3 linked regions of the Oryctolagus cuniculus genome follow. The protein of the gene in region 2 interacts with the protein of the main gene of each other region in a pairwise test. Links are inferred from orthologs where the notes say so. Each region holds a gene or a part of one and is shown on either strand. Other genes may lie near its edges.

Region 1 (9,932 bases), on a different chromosome or scaffold from region 2:
CTTCACGGCTGCAGTCCATGTCCATCCCTGGCTTTTGGCCGACAGGAATGAAGAGCGGCCTGGGGGCAGGGGTTTGGGCCACTGGTTCAGGGCCTGCCTCAGAGGACCTGGGTTCTGTACCCGGCTCTGGCTCCTGGTGCAGACGACGGCTCAAGTGGTTGGTTCTCTGCCACCCACGTAGGAGACCTGGATTGCGTTCCCAGCTCCTGGCTTTGGCCTGGCCCAGCCCTGGTCGTTACAGACATTTGTGGGAAGGAAGCAGCAGATGGGAGCTCGCTCGCTCTCTTTCTCTGTCTCTCTCTCTTTCAAATAAATAAAATTTAAAAAAGAGGGCAACCAGAAAACATCTACAACAAACATCATATTTGATATTGAAACATGAAACAAGTTCTCTTTGAGATTAGCAAGAGTGACAGTGTGTCAGCTGGCACCATTGCTATCAGCATATAGTGGTGGGAGGGCCTGCCTAGTAGGGCATGGTGAGGGAAAGGAAAAAGAAGATTAAAAGATTAGAGAGGAAGAGTGAAACTGTGATTATTTATAGAAGCTACTGTGTACAAAGAAGGTTCTGAAGACTAATGCCAATTTATTAGAATTAGCAAGATACTTTAACAGTGTGCTAACATCAAAATTCATATACAAAGTCTCTTATGCTTCCTGTATCGGCAGAGGAACTTTGAGAAAATAAAATAAGACAAACATACAGCCAGCCGAAAGCCCTAGGAGGAAATCTAATAAAGAGTGTGCAAGGCCTCCTTGGAGTTACATTATAACATTTTGTGTATCTGCTGAAGATTTATTTTAGCTATTTGAAAGGCACAGTTATAGAGAAAGAGGAAGAAAAAGAGAGAGTGGGAGGGCTGCCATCCACTGGTGCTCCCTCCAAGTGGCTGCGACAACTGGGGCTGGGCCAGGCCGAAGCCGGGAGCCTGGAGCCTGGAACTCCAGGCACGTCTCCCACGTGGGTGCAGGGGCCCAACCACGTGGGTCAGCTTCCACTGCTTTCCCAGGTGCATTAACAGGGAGCTGGATCAGAAGTGGAGCAGTCAGGACTCCAGCTGGCGCCCGTATATGTGCCAGTGTGGAAGGTGGCAGCTTAACCCACTGCACCACACACTGGCCTCCGATTATAACGTATTGCTGAGAATTTTAAAGACGGTAACTAATGTGGCAATGTACCACATCCACGGATCGGCAGAGCCAGAGTTGTAGATTGTCAGTTGTCCCAAACTAATTTAGGCATTTGACGTGATTGCAAAAAAAAAGTTTTGGTGAGTGTAATTGACAAGCAGATTCCAAAGTTTATATAAAAGTGCAAAGAACAGGGGCTGGCGCTGTGGCACACCAGGTTAAGCCGTGACCTGCAGCGCCGGCATCCCTGCTGTTGTGCCTGGAAGAGCAGTGGAGGACGGCCCGAGTCCTTGGGCCCTACCCCAGTGGGAGACCTGGAAGAAGTTCCTGGCTCTTGGCTTCGGCCTGGCTCAGCCTGGCCATTGCAGCCATTTGGGGAATGAATAAGTGGATGGAAGATTTCTCTCTCTCTCCCTCTGTCTCTGTAACTGTCTTTCAAATAAATAAATAAAAAGAAAAAACAAACAACAATGAGAATAAAAGCACCAAGGTGAAGGAGCACTGGTGGGGGGTGCAAGTGGTCACACGTGTTCTGAAAAGCCCTTGCCTCCTCACCCACCCCCGCCCCCACTCTGTTAAATCTGGAGACAGACCTACCCACCACCTCTGACCAGGGCTGCGTCGTGTCTGCGTGGTCACCATCAAGGGCTCTCGGGGTCATCCTGGCACACTGGTGGGACCCGGCAGGCTACAGCTTGGCACCAGGTCACTTCTTTCTGCAGAGGGAGAGAAGGCAGGGAGACAGTGTCAGCACACCCTCCTCGGGCCGCTCACAGCGGGGCTGCAGGTGCTCTGTACCCAATCACGTTGTTTGCATGATAAACGTTGCCTGGAAACGCAGCTGACATTCTGAATTCACCCCAGCCCAGTGTGTTTCCATGGAAACAGTGCTGGCAGCAAGCCAGAGTGGTCTTTCCACAGTTTAGATCTGCTGTACCCCTCCCACCGAGAAGTTCCGGTTCTGAGCATCGGCCCGGGGCCGGCCTGTGGCCAGCGTGAGGCAGAGTGCTGGCAGGTGCATCTTCATCCCAGCCCTGACACCCATCAGAATTTGAATGAGTCCATCGATGTGGTGTATTTGTGATCCAACAGTATACAGCAGTGAGAAATGAAAGATCTTTGTCTCTCCTCTCTCTGTGACTTTTCCTTTCGAATAAAACAATTTTTTTTTATGAAACAATAATGCAAAGAGCTCCCTTAGAGAGAGAGCTTCCACCCACTGCTTCACTCCCCCAAATGCCCATAACAGCCCGGGTTGGACCAAGCTGAAGCCAGGAGTCAGGAATTCCATCCAGGGCCCAAGAAATTGAGCCATCATCTGCTGCTCTCCCAGGTGCATTATTGGGAAGCCGGATTGGAAACGGAGCAGCTGGGACTCCAGCTGACACTCGGGTGTGGGCTACAGCATGGCCTGCAGTGGTTTAACCTGGTCTGCTCCAGTGCCGGCGTCTGAGGACTTGATTTTTATCACAGCAACTGCTGAACACCCAGTTTCACAGACGTGACACCACAGAAAGGAATGTAGTGGAATCTGATGGTAGATACCACTACTTTGGGAACCACCTTAAGCTAGAGGTTTTTTTTTTTTAATTTATTTTATTTATTTGAAAGACAGAGTTACAGATAGAGGTAGAACCAGAGAGAGAGAGAGAGAGAGAGAGAGAGAGAGAGAGAGAGGTCTTCTATCTGCTGGGTCATTCCCCAGATTGGCCAGAGCTGAGCCAACCCAAAGCCAGGAGCCAGGAGCTTCTGGGTCTCCCACGCAGGTGCAGGGGCCCAAGGACTTGGGCCATCTTCCACTGCTTTCCCAGGCCATAATAGAGAGCTGGGACAGAAGTGGAGCAGCCGGGACTTGAACTGATGCCGGCGTTGCAGGCCTGGGCTTTAACCCGCTGCACCACAGTGCTGGCCCCTAAGCTAGCAGTTTATGTGGTGTCTGGACAAAAATCAGTATCCTCAAAAATCGAAAATATCCCTGTGGTGTTTGGTGTGATGTCTGGAGGTATGTTGGTGTCTTCCACGAGTTCATGGAAATGTGTATTACGAAAAAGCTATGCATGGGGCTGGTGCTGTGGTGCAGCGGGTAAAGCCGCGGCCTGCAGTGCTGGCATCCCATATGGGTGCAGGTTTGAATCCCAGCTGCTCCACTTCCGATCCCACTCTCTGAATGGATGGCCCAAGTGTTTAGCCCCCTGCATCCACGTGGGAGACAACTGCTCCTGGCTTCCGACGGGTCCAACTCTGGCCATTGTGGCCATCTGGGGAGTGAACCAGCAGGTGGAAAATCTTTTTCTTCCTCTCTCTCTCTCTCTAATGCTGCATTTCCAATCAATCAATCAATCATCTTTAATAAAAACCTATACATGGATTTGAATTATTTTTGGCATCAAAATAAACTCACCTTTTAATTCCACTTGCAGACTCTCTGAAGTCTCCTTATGCTATTTCACTGAGGTCTCTAACAAGGCACACAAACTGGGGTGGGTGGGGGCATCCAACAGCAAGGCATCGTCCCACAGTCTGGAGGTCTGAAGTGCAAGGCCAGGGAGTCTGCAGGTCTGCTCCAGGCTCCGCCCCTGGTGTCTGGTGCCCCCTGCCACGCAGAAGCGTCGGCCCCATTGCTGCCTTGGTCTCCACATGGCCGTCTCCCTGTGTGCACCTCTGTGTCCCAAATACCTTCCTGATGAAACAGCAGTCACATTTGATTAGGCCCCTGCCCAGTGATCTCATTATATTTTGTTATTATTTTTAAGGATTTATCTATTTATTTGAGAGGCAGAATGACAGAGAGAGAGGGAGAGAGGGAGAGAGGGAGAGAGGGAGAGGGGGAGAGAGAGAGAGAGCAAGCTTCCGTCTGCTGGTTCACTCCCCAAGTGGCCACAACGGCTGGACTGGGCCAGGTTGAAGACAGAGACCAGAAACTCCATCGGGGTCTCCCACGGTGGGGGCAGGGGCCCAAGCACATGGGCCATCTACCACTGCTTAGCGTATTAGCAGGGAGCTGGATCAGAAGTGGAGCAGCCGGGACTCGAACCAGCGCCTGTATGGGGTGCTGGTGTCCCGGGCGGTGGCTTTACCCACTGCACCACAGCGCCGGCCCCATGATCTCACTTTAACTCAGTGACCTCTTGGGGTCCGGCCCTGCCTCACTACCTACTTGTGCCTGCCAGCCTCCTTCTCCCAGGATCCTCTCTGTTGGTGGCGGTGGCAGGGGCTACGTCAGCAGGCGTCCTGGGACCTCAACCTCCCATCTCAGGCGTTTCCCCCCAAACACCGGGAAAGGAGGCAGGCTGGCCAAGCTCTGGGCTCGTGTCTATCTCCAGGCCAGTCCCCGAGGTTGGCCACGGTCAGGGCAGCATGTTAGCCTCACCAGAGCCACACAGAGAGTCACTGGGAACTGTCAGCTGGGCCACCTGGACAGAAGACGGCAGCCACGGCCGGGCACTCCCTCTCGCCCACACTGGCTGTGACAGACAGGAACCAGCCTCTTTCTTTCCAGATCCAGGAGTGGGAGACCCGGATCTTCACCCAAAGTAAGGACGTCATGGGCCCGGGGGTCGTCCTGGAGCAGAAGGTGAGGATGCAGCGGCGGATCAAGATCCTGGAGGACCAGCTGGACAGGGTGAGGGGCGGCTTCGCGGAGGGAGGGCCCCGGGGAAGCGGGCTGCTGGGGACCCAGCTGGGCCAGGCGCCAGCCACACTCTCGCGTCTGCCTCCCCCCGCCCCCCCCTCCCCCAGGTCACCTGCCACTTTGACATCCAGCTGGTGCGGAACGCGGCCCTGCGGGAGGAGCTGGACCTGCTGCGCATCGAGAGGAACCGCTACCTGGAGGTGGACCACAGGCTACGGAAGGTCAGCGGACTCCTCCCCAGGTCCTGCCTGCGGCTGTGCGCCCGGGGCTGCAAGGGCGGAAGTGTGGGAGGCGCCCGGCGCGGGCAGGGGCAGACTGGCAGAGAGCAGAGCCAGGCTCCAGGCACCTGCCTGGCCTCTGGGGCCCACTGAAGAGCCAGCCCATCCTCCCGCCCTTCCTCTCTCTCTCCCCCTGTGTGTATGAGTGATGGTGTTTTCGCCAGAGGAAGCCTATCACTGTGACTGTGGAGCTGTTTGGCGGCGCCTGGCGGGGCTGATGCGTTCGGTGCGGGTTTCCCATGGACGCCTCGCAGCTCTGCGAGGTGGGACCTGAACGCGGGAGAGCGTTCCAGGCGGCCTCTGTTCGGTGGTCCCAGCGCTGCCCTTTGCCATTCCAGGCCAGGGCCCCAGCACATGGGTGCACCTGGAGCCGCCGGCTTCCCGCGGCTTTGTCCCCTGACCTTGACGTTTCGGAGGCTTCCAGGACGCCGGCCGTGGCTGGACGACGTCCCGCCCCGTGGGTCCTGTCCGCTCTGTGTGGCAGCCTCAGCAGTGCGGGCACGGGGGGAGGGGGCGCCCGAGGCGGGCAGCTCTGATCCCCGTCCCTGTGGCCTGGTGAATACGTGGCCTGCAGTGTTCGGGCACGGGCCTTGCTGCGCAGCTGGTTCCCTAACCCTGTTGTTTGTCCGCCTGGGGGTGTGTGCATGGGCGGGAGCCTCCCCACCCCCCTTCCCACTGCAGTCTCGGGTAACAGGCAGCCCTGAGTGTGGCTACCCACCTTGACGTGCAGACTGTCCCTGTCACTCCTGTGAGCCCTTCCTTCCTCTGGGGCACCGGGAGGACAGGCTAGGCAGGCGGGACCTGCGCTGTCCCAGTTCCCAGGGACTCCTGGTTTCTGTCCAGTGAGGAGCAGGTGTCGGGAAACCAGGACACAGGTGCCCTCATTGCTCTTGGCTTCTCTCAAAGCCCTGAGAAACCACATGCACGTTTTATTTATTGACCTAAAACATTTATTTATTTATTTCAAAAGTCAGAGTTACAGAGAGAGGGGGAGAGACACCCACAGTGAGAGAGAGCTCTTCCATTCTCTGGTTCATTTCCCAAATGGCCACAAAGCCAGCACTGTGCCAGACTGAACGAAGCCAGGAGCCAGGCGCTTCCTCCAGGTCTCCCAGGTGGGTGGCAGGGGCTCAAGCACTTGGGCCACCTTCCATTGCTTTCCTAGGCCGTAGCAGAGAGCTGGATCAGAAGTACTGCAGCCAGACTCAACCGGATGCTGGCGCTGCAGGTAGTGGCTTAACGTGGTACACTACAGTGCCGGCCCACATGTGTATTTTTTTTTTTTTTGACAGGCAGAGTGGACAGTGAGAGAAAGAGACAGAGAGAAAGGTCTTTCTTTTGCCGTTGGTTCACCCTCCAATGACCGCCGCTGGCGCACTGCGCTGATCTGAAGCCAGGACCCAGGTTCCTCCTCCTGGTCTCCCATGGGGTGCAGGGCCTAAGCACTTGGGCCATCCTCCACTGCACTCCCGGGCCACAGCAGAGAGCTGGACTGGAAGAGGGGCAACCGGGACAGACTCCGGCGCCCCGACAGGGACTAGAACCCGGGGTGCTGGCGTCGCTAGGCAGAGGATTAGCCCAGTGAGCCGTGGCGCTGGCAACATGTGTATTTTAAAACGAGTTTATGTCAGTGCCTGTGATCCAGTCCAGCATCACTATTTTTTTTTCTAGAACGTTCCCAGTTTCAGCTATCTCCTTCCCACAGTGGGGACCCTGGCTCAGTCACCCGACACGTGCAGAATCGTTGCAGCTCCGCCCGCCCCACACCCCCAAGCCTGGGGCAAGGAAGAGCTCAGGGCTCGAGGCTCATGTGGGTCATGCTTGGTGCCCAAGGGGAGGGGTGTCTGCAGATGGAGCAGAGTGACCGCCTCACTGCCCCAGCCCCGCTGCCCCGTCCCAGCTGTCCCTGCTGCCCTGTCCCTACCATCCCCGCTGCTCCAGCCCCGCCGTCCCCGCTGCCCTGGCCCCGCTGCCCCGTCCCAGCCTTCCCCGCTGCCCTGTCCCAGCCGTCCCTGCTGCCCTGGCCCCGCTGCCCTGTCCCTGCCATCCCCGCTGCTCTGGCCCCGCCGTCCCTGCTGCCCGGGCCCTGCTGCTCCAGCCCCGCCGTCCCCGCTGCCCTGGCCCCGCTGCAGCTCTGCCCTTCACTGGCCCCCGCTTCCCTCTGCACTGGCTTTCCGTTTCTCTCTCTACTGATTTAGTTGCCTTTGTCCTCTGTGAACGTTAGCAAGGCTCCCGAATCACAGCTGTCCCTACGCAGACCTGGAGCCTCCTCCATCTCCCCCAGCCCTGTTGCCTCCTTTTTAACTTTTATTTATTTATTTATTTATTTATTTATTTATTTATTTATTTATTTACTGGAGAGGCAGAGTTACAGACTGAGAGAGGCAGAGGCAGAGAGAGAGGTCTTCCATCCGCTGGTTCACTCCTCAAATGGCCGCAACGGCCAGAGCTGAGCTGATCTGAGGCCAGGAGCCAGCAGCATCTTCCAGGTCTCCCACGCGGGTGCAGGGCCCCAGCACTTGGGCCATCTTCTACTGCTTTCCCAGGCCACAGCAGAGAGCTGGATCAGAGGTGGAGCAGCCGGAACTCGAACCAGTGCCCATATGGGATGCCGGCACTGCAGATGGTGGCTTCACCCGCTACACCACAGTGCCAGCCCATTTCCTTACTTTCTGATAATCCATTCTGGGTTTCTGTTTGCAAAAGTAAATGTGTACATGTGTGTGTGGAAAAAAATGGAATGAAAAGATAACTTTATTTTGCTGTTCATTTTCGAAATCCTACCTGGAAGTGTGTGTGTGTGCATGTACAAAATTCCCCACCTTTCTCCATCCTTCTCTTTCTCGCTCATTCTCGAGAATGCTTTTCACCCCCCGCCCCGGGCACTAATGTGGACGTAGGAGAGCAAGCAGTGTGGCCACAGGGCCACGGTTCAGCGACGCCATCCTGGGGAACATTCACGGGCAGGCGTTTCCCAGCCCCTCCACTGGCTCTCCCCTGACTGCCGACCTCCCGCTGCACCCTTCCCAAGCTCAGGGGTCGCCCTCGCGGGTGGGGCAGCGCGGGCTTGGGGAGCTAAGGAGCCGGCTTCTCTTTGGTCCTCCTCCCCGGCAGGAGATGCACCTGCTGCAGCACATGGTCAGCACCCTCATCCTCTCCTCCACCTCTGCCTACGCCATCAGGTAAGGGCCCCTCCGTGGCGTCCCAGTAGGGCGGGGCCTGGGTGATTCAGGTGCATCTGCCCGAAGGCCAAGGTCCCATTCCTGGGGTGTGCAAATGAACCTCATTGGCCCCCGTGGCTCGTGGCTCCCGGTCTGCAGTGAGTAAGTAAGGCTTCCTTACCCCGTGGCTAGTGCAGGGCCAAGGGAGATGAGGCAGAGGCAGGGCACCCAGCAGGCGCTGGCGGAAAGGGACGGAGACTGTCCGGCCACTTCAGGCGGGGACGCTCTGTACAGGACGGAGCTACCCTCAGTGCGGGCTTCTCTGGCTGACTGTGGCTCTCAGGGGCTCCAGGCTCTGCCTCTGCCCCTCTCCCTGCCTCAGCCCCGTTCCCCTCCTGCTCCCCACGCGTGGTTTCTGGGTCTCTCCCTCACAGGGAGCGGCACTGGCTCTCCCTCGGCCGTCCCTGGCACCGGAGCCTCAGCCCTCACTCCTACTGAGGTCCAAAGTGCTCCCCCCCCCAAAGGAAACCCTGGCACTCACTGTCCTCCCTCCTCTCCCTCCCCTCCCCGAGGCCCGGCAGTCCCCAGGCTCCTTCCTGTCCCTGGGGTTTGCGTGTTCTGGACGTTGCACGCTGAGGCAGGCACACAGTCCTTGGCTGTGGCCTTCGTGTGGGCCTCTTTCCTGAGGCCCATCTACCCTCGGACCACCACGGCTCCGATCTAGCCTCTCATGTGGCTTCTCTCTCTCCAAGTCCACGGAGCACCTGCGGGCTCGTGCTTAGCGATTCTCAGTCCTGATTCTGCAGGAGGGACTGCGGCTGGCCGGGCTGTACGCGGCCAGCCCCTCGACTCTGCCTGCTTCTGCACCGTGAACTGCCATGCAGGGCGCAGCTGGGCAGCTCCAGCTGGTGAGGGAGGAGGGGGCAGCCTGTGTCCCCTGCACTTTGCTAGGTGACTAGGGACGGTCGCTTCCGGTCTCTGAGACTCTGTCCCTAGGGCTGCCCTGGAAATTCAGCCGTCTAACGCACACGGCCCTCCCCTGGCGCCTGGGGAAGCTGGGTTTCGTCTCCCCTGCGCCTTGGTGTCGTGGAGCCTAAGGCCCTGGAGGAACTGAGTCCTGATTCCGGAGGCCTGTGTTGGGGGTGGGGGAGCTGCCTCCCGATTGGGCTAAGGTGGCCCTGGCAGGGTGAGGAGCTGGAACTCTGGGTGGAGACGAGAGCTGGCGTGGCTGGCGGCCAGAGGCCCTGGGGAGCCTGGCCTGCTGCCTCGCTGCCCAGCCCTGCGGCCTCGACGGTGACCGTGGCGCTAGGCTGGAGTAGAGACTGCATTTTCAGCAGTGCAGGGCAGGGATGCATGGTGAGCTGCGAGTCAGGGCGCCCCCCGGTGCCCCCAGAGGAACCTGCTCAGGTGGCGACGTGCCCGGCCCGCCCATGCCGCCCTCATCGCCCGCGGTCACCTTATCACCAGGCCACCTTTCCCCAGTTTGGGGTCATCGCTTGCTCTGTCGCCTTCACCACCTCTCACCAATCACAACAGTGTCCTGGCTCCCAGAAGCCCCCACGGTGCCCCGCAGCCACGCCCTCTCATGGGCCCTGCACCTCTGCCCTGACCCCGACCCCGGCCCCATCCCTCTCCTAGAACCTAGATCGTTCTGCCCGCCCCTGTGACTTCTGGCCGACCCCACGCCCGCCCCTACAACCCCAGGCCGACCGCTACCCAGCCTGCAGTGGC
Region 2 (10,032 bases):
CATAAAATAGGAGCGTAAAATAGGAGATACACTCTCTGGTTCCTACCTCAGTCTCCCCCAGTCCAGGACCCTTCAGGGCAGTGGGGACTCCAGGCTATGATTGAATAGCAGTGTTGTGTATGTGATGGTGGGAGGCCGGGTGGGCAGAGTCACACACCTTACAATCTATTCGGCCCCAAGGCGACTTAGGACAAGGACAACCTCATGCAGAGCTCTCTCAGGCAGGGCCAAGGCACCCTCATCAGACTGGGAAGCTGCTGAGACACCGCCATCAGATCGCCAGGCCCAGGAGGCTGAACTCCTCCCCAGTGTCTCTCCTGACCACCGCCCCCTACCTCCCAGCACAGGCCCCTGCCCAAAGGGAGGTCGGTGAAGAAGAGGACACCAGACAACAGAACAGAGAAACACACTTGTGAAGTTCCACTCTTGGCCCCAGTTTATTCATCCTGGGTTAGGCCAGGCAGCAGGTTCACACTCAGCATGCGGGAGCTACAGACACCAAGAGCCCAGGGTCCACATTTCACGCCCTCTCCCTGTACCTTTCCCCCACCCACTCCTCGGGATGGAACTCTTTTGAGATGGACAGCAAGATCCTCTATGCACGGCAGACATGGAGACTGAGGGCCAGTGGTGCCACGGCTGGTCCAACGGTGTAGCCTCACCCACAGCAACCTCAGATTCTCTCGGCTCCCAGGAGCAGAGCCGAGAGTTCAGCTACCTCAGTCGTTGGTCCTGCCCAAGACATGACCACTCAACAGCTCTCGGAGCCTCTGCTGGAGCCTGTCCCTGTTGAAAGGCCATCCAAGAGCTGCCCGAGGCTGGGCTGATGCTGCCTCCTGCCCACAGTCTCGCCCTGCAGAAAGGGACCAACCCAATTAACAGGCAAAACTGCGAAAGCCAGAGACGCACAGCAAGGCACAGGCACAGAGGGGGCAGGGAGAGGTTTTTCCCCGACTGCCTTGGAACACCCACCTATTTCTTGCAAGCTTGTGAGCGCACGTTCCTTCTCGGCAGAAACTTAAGTCAATGCTTCGGTCGGTTAGGGACCTGCTATGTTAGAATTTCCACTCTCCTGTTCCTCAAAGGGCTCTGCCACTGTCATTTCCCTATCACCATGTCCAGTGTGTCCAATGGCAGAGCCCAAGAGGAATAGTCCCCAACCTTCCCTGGCACCTCCTGCCATGAGCTGCACCTTCCCGCTCCCAATTTCCTTCCCTCAAGCCAATTCTCCACCAACTGCTCTGAAAAACTGTAGATAACATGCTATGGCAGGGGGCTGGTGTTGTGGCGTGGCGGGTCAAGCTGTTGCCTGCAATGCTAGCATCCCATACGGGCGCCGGTTCAAGTCCCAACTGCTCCACTTCTGATCCAGCTCCCTGCAAATGCACCTGGGAAAGCATCAGAAAAACGGCGCAAGTCCCTGGGGCCCTGCAGCCACATGGGAGACCCAGAAGAAGCTCCTGGCTCCAGACAGGTGACTTAGGACAAGGACAATCTCATGCAGGGCTCTCTCAGGCAGGGCCAAGACACCCTCATCAGACTGGGAAGCTGCTGAGAGACCACCATCAGATCGCCAGGCCCAGGAGGCTGAACTTGCCTTATGGCCATTTGGTGAATGATTCAGTGCACGGGAGACCTCTCTCTCTTTCTGTAACACTGCCTTTCAAATAAATAAATAAATATTGTTACAAAATGCTGTGGTAGGCCAGAACAGCCTCTAAACCCCTCACAGCAAAGCCAGCATCAAGGACAGTGAGCGAGAAGAGCAAGGTATAGGATAAGTGAGGGGAAGAGATGAAGAGAAATGGTCTGGAAAATTCTAGGAGAATGGATCAGCCACAGATAGATGACAGCAGGGTACATCCTTCAACTGACAGCAGGCCAGCCATTTTTCATTGGGGGACAGTGAGACCCAGAGGAAAACAAAGGCTGGTGTAGGCCACGGGTAACACAGGATGTGTGCAGATGAAATCAGTAGGCACCTGCTCACCAGTCTGTCTGCAAATACATATGCACCCCGACATATAGGCCTGCACACACAGGGGTTCACTCACACACACCTAGCACATGCCTACACATTCACACACACACACACACATCTTGTGCATAAACATCCTCACTTATGCACATACACACGCTGTTGGGTACCTGTCCACACTTGCATATACAAATTCACTCCATTACATACATGCTACATACATGTTCATTCTTACATACTCACATGTAACAGCACACTCAAGCTCATTCACACATACCTGCACACACCCGTTTTTATGTTAGCACATACACACTCATTCATTATGCTTACCCGCACTCAAGCTAGCAAATAATCATATACTTATTTGTGCACAGCCACACACATGCCTGCAAACATACACATATATACCCTCGCACACTTGTGGGGGCACAGCCTTAGCCCTGGTCCTGGGGCCTAGATGGTGCTGCCTTCTGCTGGAAACGCCGGATAAGCTCCTTGCGATTGTCTAAGATGGTATCGAAGCTGTCCTGCAGCCGGGCCTGCTGGTCAACCAGCTGGTGCTGCAGGCCCCGGATCCACTGGAGCAGTGCCAGGCGCCGGTACATCACCAGGTGCACATGGTGCTTCTCCTTCTCCCGCTCTTTATAGCGCTCCTGAGCCTGCAGCTGTTGCACAGCCTGGGCCACGGAGGGCAGAAGAGGATCCGGGGGGCCCAGGCCTCGAGGGGTCCCACAGGCAGACTCAGGACTGCTGCTGCGGCTGTCGATACTCAGGGAGCTGCTGGTATAGCCGTTGTCCTCCAGAGGGGAGCAGAGTGTGCTGGTGCCCCCCATCTTCTCAGGCTCAACCCCGGGAATCTCTGCTCCCTCCGGGGGGCTGCGGACGCCCTCCTCGGGGGCTCTGGGAGCCTGGTTGTTGGAGGGCTGCTCGGGGGAGCTCCTCCTCAGGACGGGCTCCACGGTGCCTGGCATCCCGTGCCAGTTCTCATTGGCGTCCCTGGGATTTGCCATGAAGTTGGAGTTGCTGTCTGGTTGGGGCTGGCATACTCCGGGGGGCGGGCCCCCCAGGAACGGGCCCCCCTCAGCTAGCCCTGGCTCCATGGCGAACATCTGGTCTGCAAAGGGGAAGCAGAAGAGTCACACAGGACAGAGCCACAGCAGCCTGGCCACAGGGCAGCAGGCACACGCCTGGCAGCTCCTTGTCATCCCCTCCCCTTGGCTGGGCTCGCACTGCCCCTGCTGGTCCCCACCTCCCTCACTGCTCCTTTGCAGTAGCCTGCACAGCGTGTTTTTCAGCGCTCCGAGGCAGGCTGCCTTTTCGTTCTACACGCTTCTCCCCAGATGACCCGGCTGTGGGCTGCAGCTTTGGGAATCATCATATGCTGGTAACTCTCCAATCTGTCTCCAGCCCAGATCCAACTGTTACCCAGCCCTGCAGCCACCCACAGGCCCCTGGAAATCTCCCAGTCCCAGCCAGCTCCCATCTTCGTGTCCTCAGCAAGACGGCTCTGCTCCCTGTTCAGCCACCCCAGCCAGAGCCCGGAAGCATCCTGGAATAAGCATTTTCCTTCCGTCCCTCATCTCTTATCAATCACCAAATTCAGACAATTCTTCCTCTTCAATTTCGTTTGGCTCAGGCCATTTTTTACCTGGACTAGTGCCACAGCCTTTTCACTAATCTCTCTTCCTGTGGCTAAACATGTAAATTTGGGGGCTCAACGTGGTTGCACAGCAGGTGAAGCTGTTGTGGCAATGCTGGCATCCCATATCAGAAAGCTGGTTCAAGTCCCAGCTGCTCTACTTCCAATCCAGTTTCCTGTTAATGCATCTGGGAAGGCCGTGGAAGATGGCCCAAGTACTTGGGCCCCTACCACTCACATAGGGACCAGGATGGAGTTCCTGGCTCCAGGCTTCAGCTTGGCCCAGCCCTGGCTGTTGCAGCCATTTGGAGAGTGAACTAGTAGACAGAAGATTGGTATTTCTCTCTTCTCTCTGTCACTGACTTTTTTTTTTTTTTTTTTTTTTGGACAGGCAGAGTGGACAGTGAGAGAGAGAGACAGAGAGAAAGGTCTTCCTTTTGCCGTTGGTTCACCCTCCAATGGCCGCCACGGCCGGCGCACCGCACTGATCTGATGGCAGGAGCCAGGTGCTTCTCCTGGTCTTCCATGGGGTGCAGGGCCCAAGCACCTGGGCCATCCTCCACTGCACTCCCTGGCCACAGCAGAGAGCTGGCCTGGAAGAGGGGCAACCGGGACAGAATCCGGCGCCCCGACCGGGACTAGAACCCGGTGTGCCGGCACCGCAGGCAGAGGATTAGCCTAGTGAGCCGCGGCGCCGGCCATGTCACTGCCTTTCAAATAAATAAATGAATTTTTTAAAAAAGATTTATTTAATTATTTGAAAGGCAGAGTTAGAGAGAGAGAGAGAGAGAGACACCTTCCATCCGCTGGTTCACTCCCCAGATGGCTGCAATGGCCGGAGCTGTGGCAATCTGAAGCCAGGAGCCAGGAGCTTCTTCCAGGTCACCCATGAGGGTGCAGGGGCCCAAGGCCTTGGGCCATCTTCCACTGCTTTCCCAGGCCACAGCAGAGAGCTGGATTGGAAGTGGAGCAGCCGGGTCTCAAACCAGCGCCCATATGGGATGCTGGCACTGCAGGCGGTGGCTTTACCCGCTATGCCACAATGCCAGCCCCATAAATAAATGAATTTTAAAATGCAAATTTAAAAATTGAGTGAGTACTGTTCCTGAACTCCTCTTAAAGATCTACATGGCCTAATGGCCCTGAGCACCCGCACCCTGCCTCCCATCACATCCGACTGCTCCAGGAGCTCAAGATCCACTATTGTTGCGCTCCACTATGGCTCTGGCCTGCAGTGCCTGCCTCTCCCTTCCCCTCTAAGCTCCTCCCTCTCCACCCGGCAAATGCTCTGAGGCCTGCCTGAGAATCCCCCCTCCATCTGCCCCGCCCTTAATAAATGTAAACACAGTTCCTCATGCCTTCCTCCAGCTCCCCCCATCACGCTCCTGGAGCAAGCACTGAGGTGCCACGCCCGATGCGCCATCCCTCTTCCCCCACCACCTGCATCCTGGCCCTAGTTTGCCCCATCCGGAGTTCCAGGAGGGAGTGCAAAGGGCATCCCTCTTCCTAGCAGGGCTTCCACCAAAATCCCGGTCTGAACTGAGAAGAGGTTTCTCCCGACCACGACCACACACTTACTCCCAGGACAGGGAAACCGGAGGGTCACTAAGGGGTACAAGGTAAGGGCAGCAGGCCCCAGGGGGACCCCTAAGGTGGCACAGGCTCTTCCCACAGTTGGGAGAGGGCAGAAGGCCTGGAAGGATCCAGTGGGAACGATTCCCGCGGTGACCTGCGGACCCCCAGGCCTCCCACCAAAGTGTGCACTTAGGTGCCTGGAGCCTCCCCCGAGTCTTTTTCCTAAGCAGGCTGGAATGGGCTGGTGGTGGCGCTGAGGATCCTGGGTTCTCAGCGATAGTAAAATGGGGATCAGACCCCGGCCCCACCCCCAGTTAATCCGCAATTTGCCAGGGCCGGGAGCAGCGGCGGCCGCCCTTCCTTCCTGGCGCTGCCGGAGACGTCCCCCGGGGAATAGGGCAGAGGCCGTCCCCGCAGAGCTCCGCGGAGGGGCCGCTGGGCGCGGGCTGCAGCCCCCAGCCCCCGGCCCCCGCGGCGGGGCCCCCAGTCCTCCCCCTCGGCCCGGACTCACGGCCTGGAGGCGCCCGCTCCGGCGCAGCTGGCTCTGGTTCCGGCGCGCCCCGCTCGGCCTGGGGGTGTCTCGCCCGGGCTTTCCCGCGGCCCGGGCCCGGACTGCGGCTGCTGGCGGCGTCTGCGCGGCGGGGCGGGGTTGGGGCGGCCCACGTGGGCCGGTTCGGTTCTGCGTGGGAGCCTTGCGCGGGGCCCCTGCGCCGCAGCCGCCTCCCCCGCGCCGGCTGCTCAAGGCCAGGCCTTCCAGGTCTGGCTGTCGCCTAACGGCGCTCGCTGGGCCCCTCCTTCCTCGAGGCTGTGGCACGCACCGCAGCCTCTGCCTGAAATGTTGTCTCCTGGCTAGGCTTCCCCACATTTCAGATCTGAGAAACCTTCTGTGATCCCCGAGACAAGACTGGTCCCCCGCTTTGTATCATCTCAGAGCACTTATGTTCCTTTGATCAAAATCTGGAATTTTATATTAATTGTGTGCACATCTGATTCATCATTAATGAAAGCTACTTTAAAAAATTATTTAGGGGCCTCAGCGGCCATTTGGGGAGTGAACCAACGGAAGGAAGACCTTTCTGTCTCTCACTATCATTCTGTCAAATAAATTAAAAAAAAATTTAAAAAGTGCACGCCCCATATAAAAAATTATTTATGTATTTGAAAGGCAGAGTTCCAGAGAGGGAGAGAAGAGATCCAGCCCCCAAATGGCCGTGGCCACAATGGTGGAGCCAGGAGCCTGAAACTCTATTTGGGTCTGCCACTTGAGTGGCAGGGGTCCAAGCCCTTGGGACGTCCTTTGCTGCTTTCCCAGGTACATTAGCAGGGAGCCTGATTTGAAGTGGAGCAGCAGGGACTCCGCCAGCCTTCCTATGGATCTTGGCATTGCAGGCCTGGGCTTACCCCACTGCGCCACAAAGCCAGACTGAAGGCTACTTTTTTTTTTTTTTTTTTTTTTTTTTTTTAATATGCTGTGGCGTATTGGGTAAAGCCACCGCCTGCAATGCCGGCATCCCATATAGGTGTTGGTTCGAGTCTCCGCTGCTCCACTTCTGATCTAGCTCTCTGCTATGACCTGGGAAAGCAGTAGAAGATAGCCCAAGTCCTGGGCCCCTGTACCCACGTGGGAGACCCGGAGGAAGCTCCTGGCTCCTGGCTTCAGATCTGTGCAGCTCTGGCCATTGCAGCAACTTGGGGAATGAAGCAGGAATGAAAGACACACACACACTCTCTCTCTCTCTCTGCCTCTCCTTCTCTCTCTGTGTAACTCTAACTTTCAAATAAATAAATAAATCTTTAAAAAAAAAATAGAAAGAGTCCCCTGGGACAGAGCTCAGGTTGCAGAGAATTCCTGCTAGGCACAGACGCCCTCCGTGGCGCCTGCACAGTGGGTTCCTGTGCAGTTGCCCATGTGCACAGATGTAACTGGATAAGAAAGTCCTCGGTCCCAAGCTGGAGTAGCTTGTCAGAGTTCCACTCACTGACCCTGATCCCTGTCACTCCCTTCCTCCTTGTAGTACGTGTGTAGAGAGCTCAGTTTGCAATTAGAGAACAGAGTCATTTCTGACCCTATGAAGCATCCTCTTCCGGTTCCCACGTGATTCTGACTCACCATTCTACAACCTGGAGACCCGATGGCACATCGCACCACACCAACAAACCTACATGCAAAAGCAGGGGAACTGGAGAGAAAAAATTATGATCACAACAACTGCGATTTTAAAACAGAATAGGGGATAGAAGGCAAAAGTCAAAGTTTGGGTAACAGCTAAGAGAATATAGGTGGTGACTTCAGCCCCATTCATACCCAGGCCCTAAGGCCATGTCTCCTCCCCTTTCCCTCCCCTTTCCCCTTCCCCTCCCTTTCCCCTTTCCCTCTCCTACTGCAAGATCCCCTTGCCGGGCTGGCACTATAGTGTAGTCGGTAAAGCCACTTCTGGTGCCAGCTTCCCATATGGGTGCCGGCTCGAGTCCCAGCTGCTCCACTTCCAATCCTGCTCTGTGCTATGGCCTGGGAAAGCAGTAGAAGATGGCATAGGTCCTTGGGTCCCTGCACCTGCGCGGGAGACCCGGAAGAAGCTCCTGGCTCCTGGCTTCGGATCCGCCCAGCTTGCACTGATTCAGCCATTTAGGGAATGAGCCAGCAGATGGAAGACCTTTTTCTCCCTCTCTTTCTCTGCCACTCCTTCTCTCTGTGTGTAACTCTTTCAAATAAATAAATAGAAGATCCCCTTGCCATCAGCCATCAGTTTTCTTCCTTATGAAGTGACCCAGACCCAAACTCCTCAAGGCTCTGAGCTCTTGGTCATGAAGTCATCCGATTGTTTGGTCTGCGCAGAATAGCCTCTCCCCACCTCTCCTTGGGCTCTGACCCCCCAGCTCTAACCACGTGAGTTAAACAAGAGCTTCATAAGTTCAAGAAGAAGCACGCAACAATGCTGGCCCCGTAAAATAAATAAATAAATCTTTTTTTTTTTTTTTTTAAAGAGTCCTCTCGGGATGCTGTCTGGTTTCAGCCCCGACTCCTACACTTCCAATCCAGTTTCTTGCCCTGGGAGGCAGCAGTTGATAGCTCAAGTACTTGGGTCCCTGCCACTCCCAAGAGAGACCCCAGTGGAATTCCTGGCTCTTGGCTTTTGCCTGGCCCAGCCCTGGCTGTTGTGGGCACTTGAGGAGTGAACCAGCAGATAGAAGACATCTCTCAGTCACTCTGAATTTCAAATAAAAAATACATATTCTTTTCTAAAAAGACAAATAATTATATGTTGATCATTGTCTTAAAGCCTGCAGGGGGGTGGGTATTTGGTCTGGTGGGCTGGGCTGCCTGAGATCACATTGGAATGCCTGGGTTTGGTACTGGTTCCAGCTTCTGACTCAAGTTTCCTGCTGATGTGTGCTGGGAGGCAGTGGTGATGGCTCTAGTAGTTGGGTCCCTGTCACTCACATGGGAGAACTGAATTTGGTTCCTGGCTCTTAGCTTTGGCCTGACCCAGCCTTGAGCCATTGTGAGCATTTGGGCAAGTGAACTGGCAGATGGGAGATCTCTCTCTCTCTCTCTCTCAAATTAAAAAAAAAAAAAAAATAGTTTAAAGCCTAGGCAAGCAGTATTCCAACCTGACATAGCTGAGTCATCAATTCCATTGTGTTCTGTAAATCTAGTTGCATCTAAATAACATAATACCTGATAAGTGAATTCCAAGATCTCCAGACTGTAACCTCTCTTTTCTAAATCAAGGACAGCGTTATGTGGGATACTCTACCACTGCATAATGAACACAGCCAACGCATGGGCAGTGGTCCTGGGCCACTCCATAATTTTCAGAAAGCAGGGAGCCTGGAGAAGAAAAGGCCCAGCAAGGTAGGGCTGTCTGCCTGAAGACAGAGAAGTAGATGCAGAGATGTCTGTTACTCATTCACCAGCCAGGACACCAGGGAACCAGTTTCCCCAAGTGAAGGGGTAACTATGGCTATACCACATATGCCAGAGACTTAACTGGAAGGGACACAGACATCACCAAGGATGGCCAAGCAGGACCAGCCTGCATCGGGCTCTGCACAGGCCAGGCCTCAAGAAGATCCAGCCATAGGCAGTAAACAAGAATCTGGCAGACAGGGGCCAGAGCCAAAAGAGGCTAGCAGTGAGGCCCAGAGCCAGGCCCAGGGTCTGGGGTGTCAGGCAAGGACTCACGAAAAAGGAAAAGAATTTCTACTCCAGGAAATCGGACAGGCAGGAGTTCCTCCTGGGTGGATGATTATGCTAACTCTCACAGGAAGAAAGGATGGGAGGATCGGCCGGCACCACGGCTCACTGGGCTAATCCTCTGCCTAGCGGTGCCGGCACACCGGGTTCTAGTCCCGGTCGGGGCGCCGGATTCTGTCCCGGTTGCCCCTCTTCCAGGCCAGCTCTCTGCTGTGGCCCAGGAGTGTAGTGGAGGATGGCCCAGGTGCTTGGGCCCTGCACCCCATGGGAGACCAGGAAAAGCACCTGGCTCCTGGCTCCTGCCATCGGATCAGCGCGGTGCGCCGGCCGCAGCGCGCCGGCCGCGGCGGCCATTGGAGGGTGAACCAACGGCAAAAGGAAGACCTGTCTCTCTGTCGCTCTCTGTCACTGTCCACTCTGCCTGTAAAAAAAAAAAAAAAAAAAAAAAAGGATGGGAGGATCAAGGGGTTTCTTTCTTTCTTTTTTTGTTTTTTAAAGATTTCTTTGAAAGGCAGAGTTACACAGAGAGGGAAAGACCGACAGAGACAGAGCTTCCATCTGCTGATTCACTCCTAGATGGGCTGGCTCAGGCCAAGTGAAAGCCAGGAGCCAGGAGCTTCATCTGGGTCTCCCACGTGGGGA
Region 3 (9,932 bases), on a different chromosome or scaffold from region 2:
GCTCCCTAACAATTGCTGTCTGCCCTTGGAGAGAATCACATCGTCCTAAATGACACGGATGCTCCCACCTATGCATTTAAAGAGAAACAGAGGGCCAGACATTGTGTAGACAGTCTTGATTTCAAGTCTTGAAAAACAGGAGCTTGTCCCCTGATGAGCCCAGTCCTGTGGCAAGCTCACACACATTTTAATATAATCTCTCCTCAAATTCTGCAGTTTCCTCGTTTTCTCAGTGGAGTACCTCGCCTTCCTCTGCACATGTCAGACAGGCTACCTGAGGCTGCAGTTGGGGCACCATCCCCCTACTCTGTCTACTGCCCCTCCTCTCGTTCTTTGCATATAATTCCTGTCACCTTCCAGGAAGGTCTCAAGGTCACTCTGTCTTGCCTATCCAACCCGTGTCTTAAACAGATCCTTCCTGGTGGTTTCTAAGCACACCCGAGTCTCTCCCAATTCCTAAATTGCATGTTTCTCCACTCATTGCTCTGCCCATCTCAGCACAAGCCAACTCCAGAGAGTGGGCGGCACTTGGAGCTTTCATGTCCTGTCCCCCCTCACTCCCCATCTCCCCCTTCTCCTTCCAAGCTCTTCTCTACACAGTAGCCATGACACACCTGTGGAGGCACAAATCTGATCCCTCTCTGGGACCCCTCATTGCCTCTTCTATAAATCCTTGGATGCGACCTGTTCTCCCATTGCCCATGCCTGTGCAAGCCACTTGCTAAGCTCTGTTCTCTAACCTGCTGGCAGCCCCTTGATTGCATCCTCACTGGCTAGATCAGTCTTCCCCACTGAACATTTTAACTGTACTGAGAACTATGCCGTATGACTCCTGTTTTTCTGGAAACTGAGTGTTAGATAAGGAAACTTGCTCAGAGTCACACAATTAGAAAGATGCCTGTCAAGGAACTGATCTCACACTCTCTCTTTCTTTGACCTCTCTGTTACCTCCAAAGAAGGTATCTTAGACCATTTTGTATTGCTGGACCAGAACATCTTGAGATTGGGTCGTTTATAAACAGTAGAAGTTTATTGGGCTCTTGAGTTCTAAGGGCTAGAAGGTCCAAGAGCATGGCCAAGGTCGTCTTGCCACGTTATCCCTAGGCAGAAGGACAGGAGAGCATAGACAAGAGGCCGAGAGAGCAAGAAGGGGCCACTTTTGTTTCAAGCTCACTCTCCTAATAACTAGCCCACTCCAGAGAAAACACATTAATACATTCGTGGAGCAGAGCTCTCAAGACTTAATCACCTGATGTTGGTTTCCACCTCCCAGCATTGTTGCCTAGGGAATTAGCGTTCAGCATGAGTTTGGGAGGCAATAAACATTCATGTCACAGCAGAAGGTACTGGAAGAGAGTTACAGGAGACAGAATGCTTCACCAGGAATTATTGTGAGAGGGAGGAAATATGTACAAGATGACAGCCTTATTGTGGTGGCCCCAGTGATTCTCTAAATCCACTTGCAAGGCTAACATAATCCAAGTGAGTACTGGTGATTTGCCAGTGCAATGATGTCCCCTATAAACCTTTTATTCTCTCTGTCTCCCTCTCATTCTAGGAGGAGGATTGTTTGAGTCAAATCTGGAGACTGAAGGAAGCGTTTCAGGAAGTGACTCGACGTTTTATAGGCAGTCGGAAGGTAAGGTTGCTGGAGTTGATAGCTACTGGGAAGTTGGAGGAAAAAAAAAAAAACCTTCAGAGTCTCCCAGATCCCTTCTTACTCCTGGATGCAAATACACACACACACACACACACACACACCACACACACACAATGTGGCCTGGAAAACTATTCAGTACCCAACTCTTTGATGATCAACTGGCATTGAAACTTAATAATCAGTCCTCTGATTTGTGCATCTTCTTCTAAAATATTCCTAGAAATAATTAATCCATTTATTGGTTAACTTTTTTATAATAAGGATTTTATTTATTTATTTGTGAGATAGAGTTACAGAGAGGGAGAGAGAGTGAAAGGTCTTCCATCTGCTGGTTCACTCCTCACATGGCCACAATGGCTGGAACTGGGCTGATCTGAAGCCAGGAGCTTCTTCCAGGTCTCCCATGTGGGTGCAGGGGCCCAAGGACTTGGGTCATCTTCTGCTTTCCCAGGCCACAGCAGAGAGCTGGATCAGAAGAGGAACAGCTGGGACATGAACCAGCACCCATATTGGATGCTGACGCTATGTACATAAGCTTAGCCTACTACGGCACAGCGCAAGGCCAACTTGTTTTTTTTTTTTTATACCAATAAAATAGTCCCCTTAGAGCAGTGGTTAAAAGCAAAACAGACTTCTAATTTCAAAGAAAAACTGCTGAAGCACTTTAACTCCTTCTCTAAAAAGCTTGACGTTGGCAAGCCGTGCCTTCTAGATTACTCACCCGTGTCTCCAACAGTTCTTGCTCTGGGTGTTGGGATGCTTAATCTTATGTGTCAACTTGACTGCCCTAAAGGATGCCCAATGGCTAGTAAAGAACGATTTGTGGGTGTGTCTGTGAGGGTGTTTCTAGAGGAGATTAGTGTCTGAGTTAGTTAAGAATATCTGCTCTTACCCATGTGGGTAGATACCAGCAATTCTTGAGGGTCCAGATAGAACAAAAAGGCAAAGGAAGTACAGATTCCTTTTTTATCTTCCAAACTTGACACAGCCATCCTCTCCTGCCCTGCATTTCCACTTCCTTGAACATTATTTAAAAATTCTTGATGAGCATATATATATATGAATATGTAGTGATCAATCAGGATAGTTAACGTTTCCATCTCCTTACTGTTACTTTATGCTTGTACACTCCTCTCTTCTACTCATTCATAAACCATGGAGTAGCTTCCCGTGAACTATGTCTGCCTGCGATACGTAGAATACTAGATCCTACTCCTTCCATGTAACTGGGTACCCATTGGGCAACCTTCGCTCTCCTCCATGTCCCACCATCTTTCCTACTTTCTAGCAGCCACTACTTTATATTCACATTCACTTTTTTTTTTTTTGCATCCATGTATCACTATTTTTCTTTCTGTGTCTTAGCTACTTCACTCAGCTCACTGTCCTGCCACCTATCCGTGCTGCTGCAAGTGATCACATACGTTCCTTTTGTGGTTGTGTAATACGTCACTGTGTGTGCACACCACAGTTTCTTTATCCACTCATCCATTGATAAGCATAGACATTAATTCCACATCTTAGCCATTGTGATAGTGCAGCAATAAACAATGGGAGTAGAGGTATCGATTCACTATGCTTATTTCCTTTCCTTTGGATGCTACTCAAATCTTGGATAACTGAATCCTATGTTAGATCTGGTTTTTAATTTGAAAGGCCAAGTTACAGAGAGAGAGGGAGAGAGGAAGAGACAGAGGATCTTCATCCACTGGCTTGCTCCTGTTCTTTGTCTTTTTTAATTTTTTAACTTGAAAGGCAGAGAAAGAGACAGAGAATCTTCCATCCAGTGGTTCATTCCTTAGTTGGCTGCAATGGCCGGGACTAGGGCAGGCTACAGCCTGGAGCCAGCAGCCTCTTACAGGTCACCCACGTAGGTCCAGGGGCCCAAGCACTTCGGCCAGCTTCCACTACTTTCCCTACCGTTAACAAGGAGCTGGATCGGAAGTGGAGCAGCTGAGACTGGAACCGGTGGCCATATTGGATGCCAGCACTGCAGATGACGGCTTAACCCACTGAGCCACAGCACCAGCCCCGTTGTGTTGTTTTGTTTTGAAGCAGCCTCCTACTGTTCTCCACAATGGCTATGCTAACTTAAAGTCCCACCAGTAGTGCATAAAGAGTTCCCTTTTCCAGGCTGACGCTGTGGTGTAGAGGGAGTCACCGCCTGCAGTGCCAGCATCCCACATGGCCGCCGGTTTGAGTCCTGGCTGCTCCACTTCTGCTCCGGATCTCTTCTATGGCCTGGGAAAGCAGTAGAAAATGACCCAGGTCCTTGGGCCCCTGAACCCATATGGGAGACTTTGGAGGAAGCTCCTGGCTCCTGGCTTCAGATCAGCCCAGCTTTAGCTATTGCAGCCATTTGGGGAATGAATCAGTGGATGGAGGATCATTCTCCTCTCTCTCTCTGTCTTTGAAATAAATAGATCATTATTTAAAAAAAAAAAAAAAAAAAAAAAGCTCCCTTTTCTTCATGCTCTTTCCAGTATTTTTTTTTACTTATTTTTTAAGATTTATTTATATGTAACTCTGCCTTTCAAAATAAATATATAGAGAGATCTTCCATCCACTGGTTCACTCCCCAGATGACCACAATGGCCACAGCTGGGCTGATTTGAAGCCAGGAGTTTCTTCTAGGTCTCCACACAGGTGCAGGGACCCAAGGACTTGGGCCATCCTTCACTGCTTTCCTAGGCCACAGCAGAGAGCTGGATCAGAAGAGGAGCAGCCAGGACTCGTACTGCTGCCCATATAGGATGCTGGTGCTGCCTGCAAAGGCTGAGCCTACTATACCCAGCGCCGGCCCCTTGTATTTGCTTTTAACCAGTATCACAGCCCAGTATTCTTAGGACATTTAATAACTTGTATCCCTGTCATCACAAGGACACATTATGTGAAAACAAAAATAATGTCTGTCTGACAAATTGGATAAAGAACCATTGTTTCCTTGTATTGGACCCTTAAGCTGTTACTTTGTTAAGCCACCGTGTGTGCTCGGATCTGTCCTTAGTGTCAGGATGCAACAATGGACGCAGCCAGATCCTGCTGAGAATGACCTATGGGAGGGGGACAGGGGGTGGAGTCTGTCCGGCTCCAGAGGAAGCAAACCCAGGACCCTGGATGGACATCAAGGCACTGGGGTGATTGAAGGGATCAAGGAGGAACCCTGGGTTGAGCTTTAGGGTCCCCAGAACCAGGAGCAGGAGACCATGGGCCCACGGTGACGGAGTCATGCCAAGAGAGCCGGTAGCTCTCAGGATTCCTGAATAACTCTACAGTGCACACGGTGTGAATGATGCGTGGGGACAGAGCGGGTAGGTGGGACAGCAGGGAGCTCTGTGCGCCCCCCTGAGCAGTGTGCCTCTCACCCTGGAGCCCCTGAAGGACTGGGGCGGAGGAGCTGCAGGTGGACCAGTCGGTGTGTGCCTGCTTCCCTTGTAGACCTTACTCTGTGTTCTGTTTCCCGTGCAGGACACAGCATGATGGACACCTTGGCTGTCGCCCTGAGGGTGGCTGAAGAAGCCATTGAGGAAGCCATCTCCAAAGCAGAATCCTACGGGGACAGCCTGGTAGGGCCTCCCCTTGGGCCCTGTGGGTGGTGGTGGCTGGGGAGTGGGGGCAGTCGCTGGCTGCCAGGAGAAAGTGGATTGTCAGGAAATCGGTGTTACAGCAGCCCCCACGGGAGCAGTGCCCACCTCCTCTGCTCCCAGAAGAGTGATTGCCAGGTCCCCCCAACCCCCCTCAGCACTCAGCCCTTCTCTTGATCCTCAGGACAAGCAGAACGAGGCCAGTTACCTGCGGGACCACAAGGAGGAACTAACGGAGGAGTTGGCCACAACCATCCTGCAGAAGGTGGGTGCAGCCTGGCCGCCTGGGCCTCTGCTTTCCTGCCTGTGCCTGGGCCAGGACATTTTTCTTTTTCAGCTGCGTCCCACATGTGGGAAGCCCAGAGCCTGGAGGCCTTTGCACAGATGTCCCTGTGACGTCCGAATGGCTGTCCTGCACAGCGAGTGGTCCGGCTGAGTGGAAGCGGAAGCCGTCCTGGTGACTGCGTGTCTGGCCCCTCCTCCGCAGGGGGCCACACCCTCGAGGCAGGATTCACGGCCAGACTGCAGGCTGGGACCCCTGAGACCCAGCCACAGCGTGCGTGGGTTGTGTGACCCTGGCTGCTCGCCTCGTCTCTCTGAGCCTATTTGCTCATCTGTAAAATGGGGTGAATTAGGGCATATTTCTCTTAGAAACACTCTGAATGAGGTAAAGCATATACAGTACCAAGCACAGAACCTACTGTATTGTAGGCCTCTGACACAGTTACGCCGAAGACTTGCGCTGAGCCCTCCATGTCTGTGGGCTTGGCATCCCTCAATTGAACCAACTGTAGATCCAAAATATTTGAGGGGCCAGCATTGTGGTACAATGAGTTAAGCTACCTTTTGCAATGCCAGCATCCCAGATGGGATTACCAGTTCAAGTCCTGTCTACTCCACGTGTAATCCAGCTCCCTGCTAATGCACCTGGGAAGGCAGTGGAAGATGACCCAAGTGCTTGGGCTCTTGCATCCACATGGGAGACCCAGATGGAGTTTCAGGCTCCTGACTTGAGCTTGGATCAACCCTGGCTGCTGTGGCCATTTGGGGAATGAGCCAGTATATGGAAGAAATCAATCTCTATCTCTGTCCTCTCTCCCCACTCTGGTCTAATAAATAAATAAGTCTTTAAAAACAGACTTGAAAAAACAATTCTGGAACTTTCCACAAAGCAGACTGTGAATTTGCCACAGGCCAGGCAGGGGGCTGAATCGGTACAGATGAAGCGAGGTGTAAGCTCACCATGCGACAGCCTCTACGGTTCTACAGCTCCTCCGCCTGCCTCCAGCACCTGCTGGCCTGCGGTTCATGCTCTGTGTAGCTGGACCTACGATGCCTGGTCTGTACTGAGCACACACAGACTGTTTTCTGTCACTCTTTGCAGACGGTAGTGGGTGCCGTAAGTAGTCCAGAGAGAGTATAAAGGAAATGGGATGTGGTGCTGAGGCTCTGTGAACATACTGCACCATTATATATAAAAGGGGCGGAGCATCCTCAGAGGTTGGGTTCTGCAAAGGGGTCTTGGAAACCATCCTCATGGACCCCCAGGGATGACTGTATTTGCCAACTGTAAAGAGCTGAAGAATGTTCAAGGCTACCACCGTGCTGTCTCATCGTAAGGCAGCTCGGAGACAGGCTGGCATTCTATGGCAACCAAGCTCCTTGATTAGATTTAAAAAAAAAAGAAAAATCCCAAAAGTAGTCCCAGGTACTTGTCTCTGGGACCCTGTCCACGCAGTTTGTGGAGCCTGGTCCAATAACTTGTCCCGCTCTTTTCACACCCCTGCCCAGATCATTCGAAAGCAGAAGAGCCGAAGTGAGCAGCAGGTGGAAGACGAGCCCCCGAGCTGCAGCCTGCAGGCAGTGGACAGCGGCGGCATGGCCTCCCCAGGAGCCCGCCGAGCTCCCGCCACCCTCTGGGTGAGTCCCCAGCGCATGCTCTGTGCACTTGAAGTTGACCGGTGCCTACTGGATCTTAAAGGACAGAAGGAGAGAATGAATGAATGAATGAATGAATGAGAGTGGGGGGCGGGTGGGTGAGAGAGGAGAGACGGAGACCAAGGAGGCACATAGAGGGGGCTTTTACCCAGGGAGCAAGAAAGGGGAGAATGAAGATGTTGATGTGCGGCATTTTTAATCCATCAGAGGGAATAGCTTCATGAGGGACACGTGCATTCTTACAGTGTAGCTCACCTGCTTTACTCCAAAACAGGAGAGACAGCAAGAAAACCACCATTGGCATCTCAGCCATCAGAATGGCCACATCTGGACATGGTGGGGAGGCCTCAGTGTGGTGCCACCCCTGTTTTTGTCTGGCACTCTAAGATCGACGCCATGGGCACAGTGCTCCCGGAGCTCATACAACCCTTGGCTGCTGGGCCAAGGTAGCCCAGCAGGGGGCGCACAGGGCACATGCAGGACACTGCAGTGATGGGGAGGAGCCAGGTGGAGCAGGGTCAGCCAAACCCTGGGGCGCCCATGGTTAGAGCATAGGGCCTGGACAGGGCAACGCACAGTGTGGTTTAAAACTAGAAAGTCAGAAGTGGAGAAGACAGCAGCAGGAATCATCGTTTTCCCCAAGGCCTCCGGTGGGACTCATCCCAACAGGGGCAGGGTTCACAAACAGCCTGCAAGGTAGCAGGGGCAGTTCCAGAAGTGATTGCCATTCCTCTCCTGCAGGAACTCCCCGAGGCCTCACCGCGCGCCCAGCAGGTGGGGGCAGCGAGGAGTAACTTAGTGCTTTATCAGAGATTTGCCTTTGTCGCTGGATTGGCAGAACTCCCCTTGCCGGCAGGCTGCTGGCTTGTGTTACTGCTGCTATTGTGTGTTCAACATCAAAGACAGCAAAATAAACCAAAGACTTGGGTCTCTTCCCTCCAGAACTTTCCATGCCGGTTAGCAAGGCAGGAGGGAAATGCAGTTAATACTGGTGAGAAGGAGAAGCTAGGAGACAGGGCAGAGGTGGGCATCCAGGTGAAAGACGCAGACTGGAAAGGGATTCAGGGTTCAGAGCAGGAGGGTACCCTGCTGGCAGTGAGACGGGGAGGCCCTACTGTGCAGAGCAGAGGTCGGATGCCCTTCAAGTAGCCTGTCACTCAAACTCAGTAACTCACGCCTGCCCTTCCTGGCTTCCACCTGCATGCACCTTGCATTTGGAGAGTATTTCTGAAGTGTTTTCTGCAAAGTCAAAGACTCGCGTTTTGGGGGCTCTGAGAAGTAGAAATCCCAATGGTATCCGCAGACTCAGGAGTGGAGGAGTCAGAGTCAAGTCCAAGGAGCCTGTGCCTGTGCCGCGGCTGGGATGGGATTCTGGGTTTGCTCTTGACCCTGACCACTGGGGTACCAACTCCTTTGCCCAAAGGATTCCTCACACAGGCACCTCCATCTTCGTTGGGCTGCTTTGAGTGGGGGGGGGGGGCCTGTGGGGGTGCTGTGGAGTTGGGGCTCCCTGCAGAAACAGCAGGCTCCACAGTAGTGTGGAGGTGAGGTGCACATCGACAGGCACACAGAAGCCCCTGGGGCAGAGAGCACCTGCTGGCTTGATTGGGAGGGCAATCTGGGAAGGCTTTCCTAGGAGGTGACGTGAATTCAAGACTGGAAACACAGGAGCTTTGGAGCAGCGGAGGGAAAGCATTTCTGCAGAAGGAACAGTGTACAGGGAGGCTGCGAGCCGGCCCGTTCCGGAAACAGAGCAGCAGCCGTGCGGCTGGAGGCTGAAGGGGAAGGAGAGGTGGAGACAGACCTCTTAGCACATCAGCGGATCCCCCAAGTGGTACCCATTGTTCTCTCTGTGGTCGCGCTATTTCTGCTTCTCAAAATCGAGGTGACTGTGGCACAAGGTGCCCTGTGAGTTAGGAGCTAGACCTCTGTGTGTTTCGGTCGGCTGGCCCAGCGCGACAGCAGCGGCTGTCCCACAGGTTCTGAAACATGGGCTGCCTGCCCCCTATCCAGCCAGCCCACTGCAGGTACACACACACACACACACACACACACACAGCCAGATAGCATCAGCTTGCTTCTTCCCGCAGTCTCAGCTTGCCCAACTGGACCACCTCTGTCCATTCTCTGCATCTCGGGGCTGCCTTGTTCTTCCCTCCTCAGTGGCCAAGAGCGCCTTTCCTCGCCCTGTCCCACGTCCCCCTGCGCTGAAAGGACCCCTCCTCAGAAACAGACCTTTCTCTGATTGCCTGTTTGCATCCATCCACTGCAGCCCTGCACGGCATCTGAAGTTCTCGTGCAAGTCCCCTGAGATCCACAGACAGGAGAGGAGCGGGTGGGCTGGGGTGGCGTGCGTGTCGTCACAGGGAACTTAAGGAATGCAGGCGGTGCTGGAGGGACCGTGAAACAGCTCAAGGATAGCATCTAGGCTTTGCCTTTACATAAAGCTGATGTGCAAAGGCCCTTCACGCATCCTGATTTGTATGAGAGCACCCTGCGTCTCCCCCATTTCACAGAGAAGCAAAGTGAGGCCCAGCTAGCTTGAGCCACTGGAGCTAAGGGGTTCCCGAACCAGAGCCCGGGTCTCCAGGCTGCAAGCATCTCCTACCCTCAGCTGTCTCCTGTCTCACTGGAGAGCTCTGGCTTTGGAACGCCTGTGTCCTCCCCGATGTCTCCCGAGTCCCCTTGTTGTGCACATGGTTAAAACTAGACAAGGGGCTCCTCCTGCCTGATAAGCTGGAGGTGCTCAC

The links.
Region 1: the proteins of C7H1orf216 (region 2) and ODAD1 interact in binary tests that used the Homo sapiens proteins (3 or more experiments, as listed by UniProt). The two-hybrid records come from large-scale screens. The link is inferred for Oryctolagus cuniculus from reciprocal best matches to the Homo sapiens genes C1orf216 and ODAD1.
Region 3: the proteins of C7H1orf216 (region 2) and MYRIP interact in binary tests that used the Homo sapiens proteins (3 or more experiments, as listed by UniProt). The two-hybrid records come from large-scale screens. The link is inferred for Oryctolagus cuniculus from reciprocal best matches to the Homo sapiens genes C1orf216 and MYRIP.

What each region holds. Positions count from the first base shown.
Region 1 is NC_091449.1:8,689,617-8,699,548, forward strand, and holds part of ODAD1 (outer dynein arm-docking complex subunit 1), read left to right. Parts: intron 1-4,630; coding exon 4,631-4,753; intron 4,754-4,869; coding exon 4,870-4,983; intron 4,984-8,154; coding exon 8,155-8,222; intron 8,223-9,932. UniProt on the Homo sapiens protein: Component of the outer dynein arm-docking complex (ODA-DC) that mediates outer dynein arms (ODA) binding onto the doublet microtubule. Involved in mediating assembly of both ODAs and their axonemal docking complex onto ciliary microtubules.
Region 2 is NC_091438.1:136,910,210-136,920,241, reverse strand, and holds C7H1orf216 (UPF0500 protein C1orf216 homolog), read right to left. Parts: upstream 5,955-10,032; 5' UTR 5,704-5,954; intron 3,093-5,703; 5' UTR 3,088-3,092; coding exon 2,413-3,087; 3' UTR 419-2,412; downstream 1-418.
Region 3 is NC_091441.1:107,433,216-107,443,147, reverse strand, and holds part of MYRIP (rab effector MyRIP), read left to right. Parts: intron 1-1,558; coding exon 1,559-1,639; intron 1,640-5,128; coding exon 5,129-5,226; intron 5,227-5,428; coding exon 5,429-5,509; intron 5,510-7,035; coding exon 7,036-7,164; intron 7,165-9,932. UniProt on the Homo sapiens protein: Rab effector protein involved in melanosome transport. Serves as link between melanosome-bound RAB27A and the motor proteins MYO5A and MYO7A. May link RAB27A-containing vesicles to actin filaments. Functions as a protein kinase A-anchoring protein (AKAP).